Mytilus edulis: one gene and its partner. The protein of the gene in region 2 purifies or fractionates together with the protein of the main gene of each other region. This does not show direct contact. Links are inferred from orthologs where the notes say so. Each region holds a gene or a part of one and is shown on either strand. Other genes may lie near its edges.

Evidence for each region.
Region 1: the proteins of derlin-2-like (region 2) and protein OS-9-like purify together in Homo sapiens (affinity purification with western blotting; 3 studies listed by BioGRID, with this or other methods). This does not show direct contact. The link is inferred for Mytilus edulis from reciprocal best matches to the Homo sapiens genes DERL2 and OS9.

What each region holds. Positions count from the first base shown.
Region 1 is NC_092345.1:81,442,740-81,449,935, reverse strand, and holds the start of protein OS-9-like, read right to left. Parts: upstream 3,183-7,196; 5' UTR 3,148-3,182; coding exon 2,995-3,147; intron 2,190-2,994; coding exon 2,013-2,189; intron 119-2,012; coding exon 55-118; intron 1-54. UniProt on the Homo sapiens protein: Lectin component of the HRD1 complex, which functions in endoplasmic reticulum (ER) quality control and ER-associated degradation (ERAD).
Region 2 is NC_092349.1:14,508,519-14,515,872, forward strand, and holds the start of derlin-2-like, read right to left. Parts: upstream 3,074-7,354; 5' UTR 3,010-3,073; coding exon 2,920-3,009; intron 1-2,919. Other genes in the region: sin3 histone deacetylase corepressor complex component SDS3-like, read left to right, coding at 6,366-6,465.

The DNA of each region.
Region 1 (7,196 bases), on a different chromosome or scaffold from region 2:
AGTATTTCAAAGTTCTGTCAGACATCAGTTAGAGTTTTAATTTCTATTTTATACCTTCAATATGAAATTGTCGGATATATTTCCCATAGCAGAACTCATAACTCCACCAATCCTTTGCCTGAAAAAAATATATACATGTACTCAAGGTAATAATTTAAGATACAACAAACAAACAAGAGGCTCTCAAGAGCCTGAATCGCTCACCTGGTAAACAATGCCTTATTGAACATATTGAACCATGCCAGGCAAACATGTACAGCTAACAATTCTTCAATATTACAAATATATATGACTTACTGTTTATAAATAAAGAAAATGAGACCAAAACACAAACACTTAAAACTTAGCAATGGACTGTGAAAATGAGGTCAAGTTCAAATAAAACCTGCGTAACCGACATATAGATCATAAAATATTTTCATACACCAAATATAGTTGACCTAATGCATAAAGTATTGAAAAAATAGACCAAAACTAAAAAAGTTAACTTTGACCACTGAACTATGAAAATGAGGTCAAGGTTAGATGACACCTGTCAGCTAGACATGTACACCTTACAATCATTCTATACACCAATTTTAGTAGACCTATTGCATATAGTATAAGAAAAACAGACCAAAACACAAAAACTTAACTATAACCACTGAACCATGAAAATGAGGTCAAGGTGAGATGACACCTGCCAGTTGGACATGTACACTTTACAGTTCTTCTATGCTTTCGTTTTTGAGATATAAGCCAAAAACTGCATTTGACCCCTATGTTCTATTTAAAGTAAGGGCGGCCATGTTTTTTGACGGATCAAAAATCGAAGCACACACTTTGTGCAGGATAATCTAAGGAACTATCATGCTAAGTTTCATCCAAATCCATTCAGTAGTTTCAGAGGAGAAGATTTTTTAAAGTTAGCAAATATGATGAACAAATTGTGAAAAATTGTCATTAAAAGACATTTACCCCTTAAGGGGTCAATTGACAATTTTGGTCATATTAATCTATTTGTAGATCTTACTTTGCTGATCATTTTTGCTGTTTACAGTTTATCTTCATCTATAATAATATTCAAGATAATGACCAAAAACTGCAAAATTTCCTTAAAATTACCAATTAAGTGGCAGCAACCCAACAATGGTTTGTTTGATTCATCTGAAAATTTCTGAGCTGATAGATCTTGACCTAATAAACATTTTTACCCCATGTCAGATTTGCTCTAAATGCTTCCGTTTTTGAGATATAAGCCAAAAACTGCATCGGACCCCTATGTTCTATTTTAAGTAACGGCGGCCATGTTTTTTGACGGATCAAAAATTAAAGAACACACTTTGTGCAGGATAATCTAAGGAACAATCATTTTAAGTTTCATTCAAATCCATTCAGCAGTTTCAGAGGAGAAGATGTTTGAAAAATTGTTAACGACGACGACGACGGACGCCAAGTGATGAGAAAAGCTCACATGGCCTTTTAGGCCAGGTGAGCTAAAAAGGAACTAAATGAATATTATAAAATTTGAAGATATGTGGCCTTAGGCAGATATGAATTTTCTTTTTTAATTAAATATTCTAAGCCTATCTACAGTGTTAGTTTCAACTAGAATCTTTTGAATGTACATTTAGTCACTGTTTTGCATACACTTTTTACAGGGTACATTTTCTGATAAATACTCAGTTGATGAAGCTTATATAATTCCAAACTCCTAAAATAATTGATCATCTTGTGTATTCCCCTCTCTCTCTTTCTGCTCCATTTAAATAGCATTTACAAGTTTAGGTATTATAAAACAATTGGTAAAAACGATTTTGTCTCATTCTGATCAATATGTTGAAATGATTTTATGTCAGAAAGCATTGAATATAGGTCTGAATGATATACCTGTAATTATAGACATTCCAGAATTTCCTATCCCCTAAGGTTTCATGCTTTATATACAATGTAGATGTAAGTTATTTTTATAGAGTTTAAGCAAAAAAAAACAAAATCTGTCCCTTTAAAACAGTACATCAAAAATTATATACCTTCAGCAAACAAGGTACAGATTCTAATGGTTTAAGTAATTCAGGAATTCCAGTTTCTAAAGCTTCTTTTTCCTTTTCTTCAGTTTTTCTTACTGTTTCCACTTGGTCTGGAAAATGACATTGATATCTCTGTCCATATTTGGACGTTAAATGGATGTGATTTACCGGCAATTCTACCTAGAAATATACATTCCATCATAAAGAAACAGCAATTCATTAGTGTTTAGTTAAATGAATTTCATTTTTAATTAGATGTTGACATTTACAAAAAAATGTAGCTAATATCTAACTAGTTGTGGATCCAATGGGTATCACAAGATGTATGTGCATGACATCCCTAATATGGCTAAAATGGGGCAACATACAGAATACAAATTAAATTTTAGAATAATTTACACTACCAATAAGCCTCTCACTGGTAAATATAAAATTGTCTGTATGTATTATTTGGATAGTCAACCTTCCTTTAACACACAATACACCAGTGACCTTAATATCGCTATTTGTCCATCATTACTGGACATCACAAATGTTCCAGTAAAATTTGTTAAATCACAACAGGACATGCCAGACTCTGCAATGAAAAGTTGGTTGATGCACGACGTCAAGTTCAATGACATCAATAGTTCGACAAGTGTCACAGATTCTTGGGTCAAGGGTCTGAAGTTTCCAAAAAAGCAATATTATAAGTTCTTTAATCAATATGTGTATACAGTAAGCTGAACAAGGATTTGTATAGTAAGATACACAAATCTTAATTTATAATGAAGTTTTCTATAATTTTGATATAATTTATAATATATAAAGTAGCACAACAAAGTTTAAAAATATAATTGAGAAATCACAGGTGAGATTTTTCTTAATTAAGATTTATGGTTTAAAGAAATGCACAACAAAATAACTGTGTTTTCAGATCTTCTCAGGCCGAATTTGCTAAAAAAAAATATGTTGAGGGATGTATAGAAAACCTGCATATTTGTACCTCCGGCTTTAACAACACTGGCTCTTTTAAAATATCGATTCCATAATTTACGTTGTTTATTTCTTCTATATCTAACATTCCTGAAAACATTACTATATTTCCAAAACATTGTGAAAGTAATAGGAAGATTGTGAAGCTGGAAAAGTGATCCATGTTTGTTTTGGTTCAATACGCATGCGTATGATTACGCGACAAGATTAATTCCGAATGGAGAAAGGGTATTGACAAAACTCGTATCACTTTTCTTCCCCAGATCCTGATATTTGCAGTTTGAATTTCTTTAGTAGTTTCGATGATCCTTCTTGAGTGATTTTTATTTGGACCATTTCAAATTTGTGTTCTATGGATTTAATTTTAGTTTACAAATATAAGTATGTGATAATTTAAATATAGGGTTTATAAAATAAGTAAAACAAAGAAAAATTGTAAAAATTGATAATATAACAAATATACAAAAAGATAGGTACAGCCAACTTCAGAACCAAATCTTAATATCGACAGAGACATATTAAACAAGAATATAACGATAGAAGAATTCAAAAAAAGTTTTAAGTAGTTTATGATCATATGAGGGAAGTGCTACTGCTACCTTAAATGCCAGGTTACCTAGACTATGTCCTACATATACTGTAGTTTTTGTCTGAAGTAAAATAATAAGTTCAAATGAAATATATTTCGGGAACGACCGTTGGCATTGCACTTCAAAAGGTAAGGGCATACGATACAATTTTGATCCCATATTGAAATTTTGATGACAATTTGCATATAGGCTATTATTTGGCTGATTAAATCAAATATGTTATAAAAAATTACCTTAATGTGCTACTTTTTGAGTAAAATGAGGTCCAAATTTTATATATTTGCTCTAAATTCGGATTTGTGGACGTATTTTTCCTTTCGACACAAATCCGAATTTTGAGCAAATATATAAAATTTGGACCTCATAGTGGTCTAATTAATTAATTAATTAGAAGTCAGCAATCATTAAAAATCTCACGCATGTTTCTTTATTTTAATTTTTAAAAATCCAAATAAAAAATATATGTTAAAGCTAAATTTATAATATTTATCCTTTCATGTTCCTGTTGAAATCATTAAAGCATCATGCCAGGCTTTTTCAAGAAGGTGAAGCATATTTTTTTATCCTTGCATGTTCCTATGGTCCTAGAAAAAGCAATATCTCAATAGAACTCTTTGTTTTCCTTTGAAAATATGCAATATATATTGATCAAACAGGCCCTTTTCTCTCTTATACTTGTTCGTTCTAAGACACAAAGTCCCATATACGAAATTGGGAAACTAGTCCCCAAAAAAATGTATCAAATAAAGGAGAAAAAAGGGAGGAGGATGAGTTACAGAAACAATAAACCTGTAAATTGAGTTTTGAATATGCATTAGATGATCTTAGATATTTGTCACTGCACGTCCGATGAACAATCAATTAGTACACGAAATGCGCCAGTTTGGGTTATGCAATATTTAAATTAATCATTATTATGATAAAATTATCCTATTGGTAGAGAAATTCACAATTTTTTATATCAAATTGGTCATTTGTTATATCAAATTAATAATTTGTTATATCAAATTAATAATTTGTTATATCAAATTAATAATTTGTTATATCAAATTAATAATTTGTTATATCAAATTTACAAATTGTTATAATTATCAAAATTGAAAATCTGTTATACCAAATTGATAATATCAGATTATTCCATATTGGTATTATTTTAGTAGGTTTCTCTATATGAATTGGACTTTGAATAAAAAAGCATATTCACCTGAGAAAGTGTTATTCACCGCGCTAAACGTCACGCGCTTTTACATGCTACGTTATGGTAAAATGTTTCATGTAAAATTTGTTTTGGTATTATGTTTGTCATCAAATACATTTTATCTCCTCGGAATATGGAATAAAACAATTACTGTCTTTTGTTTCGGTAAATATGTGGTTTAATTGACTTTTGAAAAACTGATATTCACTTCGGCCGTCGGCCTCAGTGAATATCAATTTTTCAAAAGTCAATAAAACCGCATATTTACCTCATCAAAAGACAGTAATTGTATATTATTACATGGCATTTTTCATATTGCATGTATTATCAGCCCTAGGTTCAATACTCAGCCCAAGAGCCGCATGGCTCGAGGGCTGATATTGACCGAGGGCTGATAATACATGCGATATGAAAAATGACATGTTATGATCTTTTTATCATATGCTTCAACAGTAGAAAAAAATAACAGATTCATATATTGATCCTTTTACGTGGTTCCAGAAGTTTAAAGAGTAAAAAAGTTCACGGCCGTCGGACCCAAAATTTGATACATTCAATATGAAATCTTTCTATCATATGTCTCAACAGAGCGAGAAAAAAAAACCCATTTATTATGGACGAATCGACAAAAAAATAATTCAACAATATACATAATGATCATTGTTTGGAAAAGTCAACTTTTTAAAGAAACTTTCTAAATTATGTTTCAGAAAAACTTAAAAAATGCATTTATTATTATTTTTTTTTTTTTTTATGATTTTAAACAATATTCTTTCCAGTATTCAAATAGTTGTTTTGTACACTACTTTGTAATGTTTTTCACTGAAAACGTAGCATTGAGGTGTATTTTCCGGAATTGGCCGAGTATTACCGGAATGCCACGTGATAACGTTACGGAAAGGCATGTGATAAGCATTTGATAAATTTTTCATATCAGCCCGCTAAGCACCAATTCGAAAAATATGGAATTTACGTCAATTTAATGCTATTATCATACGGTAAAATTTATAGGTTATTTAGTCTAAGTATATGATAATCTGTTATATCGAATTGATAATCTGTTATATCGAATTGATAATCTGTTATATCAAATTAATAATTTGTTATATCAAATTGTATAAAGTAATTGAACATGGCCCTTAAAGGCTTCCGTAAGATTTAAATTTGGATTTTGATATTCGACAATTCGTAGACTATAACTTGACATTCATAACAATTTTGAGTTGACATCCTTTTAAAATAAAACCCTGTTTAATAATTACATTTGTATATAAGCGCACGAAACGCAACACATTTGGAGTTGTATGTGTTCAAAAGTTATGACACCATTCATTTTTTTTGCACCAATAGTTACATTAATTAAAAATAGTTCAATGTCATTGGTCGTTACTAATAATAAAACCCATTGTCACTATGTGCGTCATATTACGCAAAAAGACTCATTCTAAAATTATGTACCATATAATACCTGTATTCCTATATAGATCTATATAGGCTTACTGTTTATATATGTATAATATAGTGTTCTTGGTGTAACACAAAGGATAACCATTATATAGACAAAGCTGCAGATAACATTATGACTTTCAAGTCATCTATTATCATTTGGGTTTTAGCGGTTAATTCAGGTAGGTTAAAACGATATTAGCAAATTGTAACATTTTTATTTTTAAATTTCTGATTTATACTAAAAGTTTGTGTTTAAGAGGTATATTTGGAAGTATCTTTAAGACATCAAATAACATTTCACTCATAAGGTTTTACAACATATATGGTAGGGAGAAAAGGACAACCCTGTCGTACTCTGTAACTGAAATAGTTATGACAATTAATTAGATCTTTGATACAACTACAATATGCAGTTGTCACCAATAGACAAAAAATACTATTGTAATAAATAAAAAAACGCACATAAAGTGTACATTATTTTACAACAAAATCTTATTTTTCTTTTTCAGTTTTGCGTATACAAGGCATACCTATAAAACATTCCAAGATGTACAGGAAGTTTATTTTGCCTCCATATGCTACAAGCATTCATCCGTTCATCTACACACCATTCATCAAACTCTTTCATTTTTTCCTCCCTATGTCTTACGGAAACAGACAAAATTGGATCAGTTTTCTGACATTGACAGACACAGATTATGAATACCTCAAAAACAAAGGTCCAACCACTGTACCAACACTGCAGACTACAGACAAATCATTGGAAAGAGCAGACCCACCCGTTATACATATACCGACACATCAGACAACTCCTCGCATGGAGCCAATGGACATTCCAATTCTTCCATTATAGGACTTTAGAACTCCTCTAATGGAGATACATCAAATTCAACGCAAATTAGATAGAAGGAATGCAAATACATTGGAGCTAGATTTAGGTTCTTATATCTAATGGCAGCAGATGTTGAACTATCT
Region 2 (7,354 bases):
TAAATGTAATAGTTATATTATAAGAACAATAATGTAAGGTTTCTTTATCTAAAACTAAAGATCATTCACAATGATCAGTCAGAGCTCAGACATAAACAAGTCTATTTCTGTTTTTGACTTAAAGAAGTCAAAACATGTATTCTTTATAAAAATGTGTTTTCAATTTTAGACTTATCTAAGTCACAAAATGACAGACTTGTTTAGGTCTATTTATGTTGATGAAAAAACTTAACTTGACTTGGTGGCCAAACTACACCACCTTTGACAGTAAAAACCTGTCTGAGAGTTCACAAGGACTTGATCTATCTATATTTAATTATCTAATTGAACATCCTTACTAAACACAGATGTTTTACCTCATTAAGTGTGGATCCAGGTGGTTGCATTGTAAGGTTAATTAACATGATCCCCGATTTTTCAGACTCTCATTCATATTTTTCTTTAGAAGACAAGGCATAATTGGCTTTCAATGTTGTCATTATTTGATTTAGATGCATGACCTTTTTATAAGTATGCGTGGGTCTTGAAGTTTTGGTAACTTATCGACTTGTAGGAGTTGATATTTGCAACTTTTTGATTCTGGTCAATCATTTCTTGCTTAACAATATTTGACTTATTTAAGTCGTATTTTGTCTTGCATTAAAGGGAGACAAATCCTAAAACTTACAAATTTAGACATCTATAAGTCAAAAGCAGATTCAGACTTATTTATGTCTGAGCTCTGACTGATGATATACTAGTGTTTTCTTTTTGCCTTTAAATCTTACTTCAAAAATATATTATACTGCCACATGTACAAGAGTGTTGAACATGTTCAATGACTGACCTATCATGCCTATATATGAAGGTACATGTAGCAATATCTTCATTTAAAAAATTTGTAAGGGTTCCGCGGAACCCAGTGTCTCGCCTACTTTTGCTGTTAATCACACACTCATCAAAAATGATGAAAAAAATCAATAAAATTATTCCTCTCGATACTATCTTTTGATTGTCAGAAGCTTCTGTCCAAGTTTGGTAAAAATCCAGGCTAGTTTAAGAATCTTAAAAATGTTTTAAATACTTTAACTGCAGACTGTATGTAATGTTAACTGAAAGAAAAACTAAGTCCATTTATAAGTAAAATATGGGAAAAATGGAATTTTATTTTTACAAAATTTACATCTGGATACTATCTTCTGATCATAAACAAGCTTCTGGCCAAGTTTCTTACAATTCCAGGATAGTTTAAGAAAGGTTTTAAAATTTTAAAAACTTTAACCACAGAGTGAATGTAATGTTTCCTGGCAGAAAAACTAAGTCCATTTATAAGTAAAATACGGAAAAAATGGAATTTTATTTTTACAAAATTTACTTCTGGATACTATCTCCTGCTCATAAACAAGCTTCTGGCCAAGTTTTGTACATTTCCAGGATAGTTTAAGATAGTTATTAAAATTTTAAAAACTTTAACCACAGAGTGAATGTAATGTTTTCTGGCAGAAAAAACTAAGTCCATTTATAAGTAAAATACGGAAAAAATGGAATTTTATTTTTACAAAATTAACTTCTGGATACTATCTCCTGATCATAAACAAGCTTCTGTCAGAGTTTCGTACAATTCAAGGATAGTTTAAGAAAGTTATTAACATTTCAAAAACTTTAACCACAGAGTGAATATTTGTGGACGCCGCCTACGCCGCCGCCGACGGAATGTAGGATCGCTATGTCTCGCTTTTTCGACTAAAGTCGAAGGCTCGACAAAAACAAATATCACTGAATATTCTTCAACATTTTTTAAGTGACCTATATGTTATGCATGTTGTACAAATGATGATTGCAATTGAATGGAATTAAGACAACAGCGAGTTTGTTGATCCACAGAACATTTTTTAAAACATAAAATGTATAAAACGAATCGTCTTGAGTCGGATTACTACGGGCCGCATCAGTTTAGGGCTGGATTTTGGGGCCTGACCAACAAGGGCACTATCAGTTTGGGGCTGGATCGACCTTATAATGATGATGGAAGTGTTTTAACGACCTTGACTGGCTTTACAGCTCTCACAGTCAGCTCTGTGCCCAAAGAAAAGCAAGGTGAGCATTTAAATATTTTCTGCAGTTGGTCAGGAACAGATGGAAGGCACAATATTGATAGGCAGCAATCTCAGTTTTCGTGAGATACTACCATTTAGTTTGATTGCTATTGTACTTAACAACGACTGCTTTCAGGGCCAGGTTGGTCAGCTTGGCAGCCCTCTAACCACAATGATGAAGTACTGGTCGATGGGTCTCAGACAAAGTCATAATGATGACAGGAATCTTTATCAGGACCAAAGTGGTAAGACAGTGCAATGGTGGTCCATTATCCAACACCTATGATACAGACCAGTAGAAGTCAGTCAGCATAATATGTCCCCTGTAATGTGTGTTAAGGACAAAATGCTAATGCGATATTTATGCAAAACAACAAGTTTAAGATCATACTGTTCAGCATTGAATTGGTGTCTATCATCAATCAATAAACCCTGGAGTAAACCAACATCGTGGATAGCAGTAGTCCAAATAATTATGATGTAATGGAAGGCTATTTCAAATTTTTGCTTTGACGCTTTCCTGTGACAATGTACATGTAAGGCATCAAGAAAAAAAAAAAAATAGCCTTTAAAGACGTTGTAATTATTTGAACTAGGATAGCAGGTAAAGAGGAGCTGACCCAGTTCTGCTGTTCAGTTGTAATGACTGAGGTGCAACTGAATGCTGAATTGATAGCGATGTGGATCGACCTGATAGCTGTACATATACATGATTATGATTTGACATACAATCCAGCCTTTTTTTTTTTATCAGAGATACAAAATTTTGTAAGTGGCTGTGTTACAGTCCTACATTATATTGCTTGTATTTAACATTTATTTAAAACTGAAATAAGAATAATACCACTGCTATCGTTGTGATAACACATGCTGTAGTGTAAGCCCGAGTAACGGGCGGCATTTGCATGTATTCTTGCTGAAATGTTTGTGCCATGGCTGTGTAGTGCAATGTTTACACCGGATGTTGAAGAATCCACGTAGAATAAGATAAAAGTAAAAAGTAAAAGATATCAACACAAATTTTAAAATATTCCTCTTGTAATTTCTTCCGAAACTATATCATTTTTGTTTTCTATTTAGTTAAGTATACAAATTTTATATCTGATTCGTTGATTTTACGATAGGATCTTTTTTCAAAAAATAAAATTGTTATCTGCAGATTTTACTTACACCGGAAGTGAAATAAATGGTACGCACTGAAACCCGGACCGGACCGGACTCCGGACCCGGACTTTGGTATGAAACCCGGACCCGGACCCGGACTGGCCACCGGACCCGGACTGAATGCCGGACCCGGACTGTGGGTTTTTTACCACTTTGATTTTTTTTAAGATTACTGTCATATAAATTATTAGTTACAGTATATAAAAATTAAAAAAAAAATCCACATTCCGAGCGCAAAATTGAACAAAAAAGAGTAAAGTAAAGTAAGGAAGAAATATATAATAATTCCTTTGTCGTTATTGTTTTATTGAAATTAATAAAATCTTTTTTATTATCAATGAAAGCAAATTAAATTCTTTTCATAGGAAGAGTAAAGCGCAATAGTTTGATACATTCGAGGGTTATATTTTTTTTGTATTGTTTTCTTCTTCTAGACATTAAGGGAAAAATAGAATTCCTGCTTTTCTAAAACATTGTTTTGGCAGTCTTAATTAATCACTTTTAATATTAGTTTCCTCTTATGAGAACACCAATTACGCGTTGTTATGTCACTGTGTAATGAAAGTCTCGTGTTTTATTGGGTGTTTGACATTTGCGCCGATTTTTAAAAGTTTCGATCTTTCATTTGCGCCGATTGTGCACAGGTTAATTGCAGGTGAATGTCACATTGATTCTATTCATCAATATAAACCTCTTTCGTTACCCAATTGTACATATGTTATGAATTGTCAACTAGTATCATTAAGAATTCCTATGATCTCTTATTGTAATTCCGAATTCTTATGATATCTTATTGTTCCTCCGAACTCTTATGATATCTTATTGTTTCTCAGAATTCTTATGACTTTTTATTGTTCTTCCGAATTCTTATGCCTTTTGATTTTTCCTCCGAATTCTTATGATCTCTTGTTGTTCCTCAGAAGCCTTATGACTTTTTATTGTTCCTCCGAGTTATTTTAATCTCTATTAAGACTTATATGGTTTCTCCGAATTCTGTTTCTCTAAATTCTTCTCTAATACTGTTCCTCAGATTGAATTATTGACAAAGGTTTACACTCGCTTTAGGATATTGGTTTAATTGAAAGAAAAAGGAAAAAGAAGACACAATTAACCAGGAATTACTTACAAAATACATTAAGGCTATTGGTAATTCAGTGTTTAAATAACCAAAGTAAAAACTATGATGGATTGCTTTTTTGTACTAGCTGTGATCAGTAACTGCGAGTATTCTCATATCTGTAGTTGGTGTCGTACGGTCACCTATAGTTGTAAATGTCTGTGTCATTTGGTCTTCTTTGTCAGCTGTCTCATTGGCAATCACATCACATCACATCATTCTTATTATTATATCAACATTGCAAATAACGCGTCACTTGTCGATAACATGGTATTTATAAATAAAATAATAAAAAAAAAGATTTACTTTCTTATTTGATTGTCATCACAAAGTCTATTAAAATAATTCAACAATCCAATGTTTCACGATAAAGGTGTCAAAGACTACACTATCAATCATAATCAAGCATGTATAGAAGTCAGATTTAAAGGGGCATTAGCTCCGAGATTTAATGAAATGATAAATAAAAATGTTCAATATAGTGAAATAATTTTATTTTAGCAGCCATTGTCAAAATAAACTAATATACATCGCTTATGAATTATTCACTCGTAATCTCCGTATCAATAGTATTCCTTTGGTAAGAAATACAGAAATAATCTTGTGTTACACGTTAACCGGGATATTTTTTACCCCAAGATGGTACTCTGAATAAAATCTTCTGCGGCTCCTGATTGGATGATACAAAGTTGGAATTGCTCCAATAAAATTTAAGCAGCGATCGATCATCCATGTAATACACATTCTTGAACAGGTGAGTCCGGACTGTGACCTGACATGACCCCGGACTAGCTTGAAGTTTACTATACCTGCGTGTATTGCATTACGACGACTAACTGTATGTAAACTGTTTATTGTCGTAAAGTATATTGACGGGACATTTGATCAAGCATGTAATACATAAGAAATTTATAAGATATTTATCCGACATTTAACGAATAATATAAATGTAATAGGCGAGTCCGGATGGTGACCTGAAGTAACCCCGGACTAGGTGTATTCGCAAACTGTAGACATCGATAGAGATATAAAAACTTCACAAATGATTTGATGAGACGAACTTATTCATTTTTATTCATTCAACTTTTTCCTTATTGGATTGTCGTCGGAAACATTAATAAAAGACGTGTACCCGAGAATCAACAAATTAAAATTAGACGAGTCCGGACTCTGATCTGATATAACCACGGACCAGGAGTGTACGGATTGTATATAAATATACTAAATTATTTGTTTAATTGAAAGATTTTTTCCCCCTTTTTACTTTTTACTTTTCCTTTATTCATTTCTCTATTTCTTTAGTTATTCGATTGTCATCGGAAAAATCAATAAACGACACTTAAGCGGCGTTCAACAATGTAATACACATTCTTGAACAGGTGAGTCCGGACTGTGACCTGACATGACCCCGGACTAGCTTGAAGTTTACTATTCCTGCGTGTATTGCATTACGACGACTAACTGTGTGTAAACTGTTTATTGTCGTAAAGTATATTGACGGGACATTTGATCAAGCATGTAATACATAAGAAATTTATAAGATATTTATCCGACATTTAACGAAAAATATAAATGTAATAGGCGAGTCCGGATGGTGACCTGAAGTAAACCCGGACTAGATGTATTCGCAAACTATAGACATCGATAGAGATATAAAAACTTCACAAATGATTTGATGAGACGAACTTATTCATTTTTTTTCATTCAACTTTTTCCTTATTGGATTGTCGTCGGAAACATTAATAAAAGACGTGTACCCGAGAATCCACAAATTTGATTATCTTATTATTATAATGTACTGTGTTACAGTTCTCAAAAAATTATCTTCCTTCTCCTGATTAAAAAAAGAAAAAGGTGATTCTAAGAAAATTCAGAATTATTACCCAGTCCGGGTCCGGCATTTAGTCCGGGTCCGGCGTCCGGTCCGGGTCCGGGTTTCATACCAAAGTCCGGGTCCGGAGTCCGGTCCGGTCCGGGTTTCAGTACGTACCGAAATAAATCAACAAACCATGGCCTCGTACGCTTCTTCACGGGACGAAAACAATTCAGATTTTGAAGAGGTTGACAGCTTTGACTGTGATGAACTGGATGCACAAGCAACTGACGAAGGTAAATATTCAATCTGCTTAATATTTTATTATTCTTTGTGTGGATGCAAAAGATGTTTAGTTTTAAAAATTTTAGTGCTTCATATATATGTTTTGGTATTTTGCAAGATACATGTATTATCTATTTGCTTAGAGTTAATTTTTGGTGCTGCTTCTTATTATTTATTGCATGCTGCATGTCTTGTTTTATTTGTTATTGCATATGTTTTTATATTCGGTGAAAAGCTCATTAGAGCTTATGTTTGTATTGTTTGTCAATATGCCGAATCCAAATAAAGTTTTACTTACTTACTTACTTACTCAACCCTGCACCTGACAAAGGTACTTTTATAAGCATTGTGGCTTTGTGCTGTTATAGTTTATGCTGTGACTTTTATCTCGTTATTGCAATGCATTTTAGAAGTCATATACCAACTAAACTCAGTGGCAATATTAGTTTTCTTTTTGGTTTGCATTCTACAGTTCTAGACCTTCCTATGGATAGAAACAAGTGCCTGTGGTTTCGGCCATGAATCACTTAGGTATATATGTAATTCAAGGAATTGTGTTAAAATATTTAATAATTTAGGTCACCCTTATAATAAGAAGATAAGTGTATTATATTTTAAGCTCCGACAGCATCAATCGTTGATTAGATGGTCACACAGTGTTCTCCCCAGGATTTTTGGATAGCGCTGTGGTAAGCGCGTAATTTTCGACAATTCTCAGTAACTTTATTGCGGCGTGCGTTTTGTTTGTAATTGATTTGATGTGTTTTTATTATATTATGCTATTGATGTTTTCTCTTGTAATGATGTCCTCATCATGCTCATGATAGTTACAAAATGTACAATGTACCCCTTTGTTTGTTAATGTTTTTGTCTGGATACACATGATATAGAAGAAGAGTC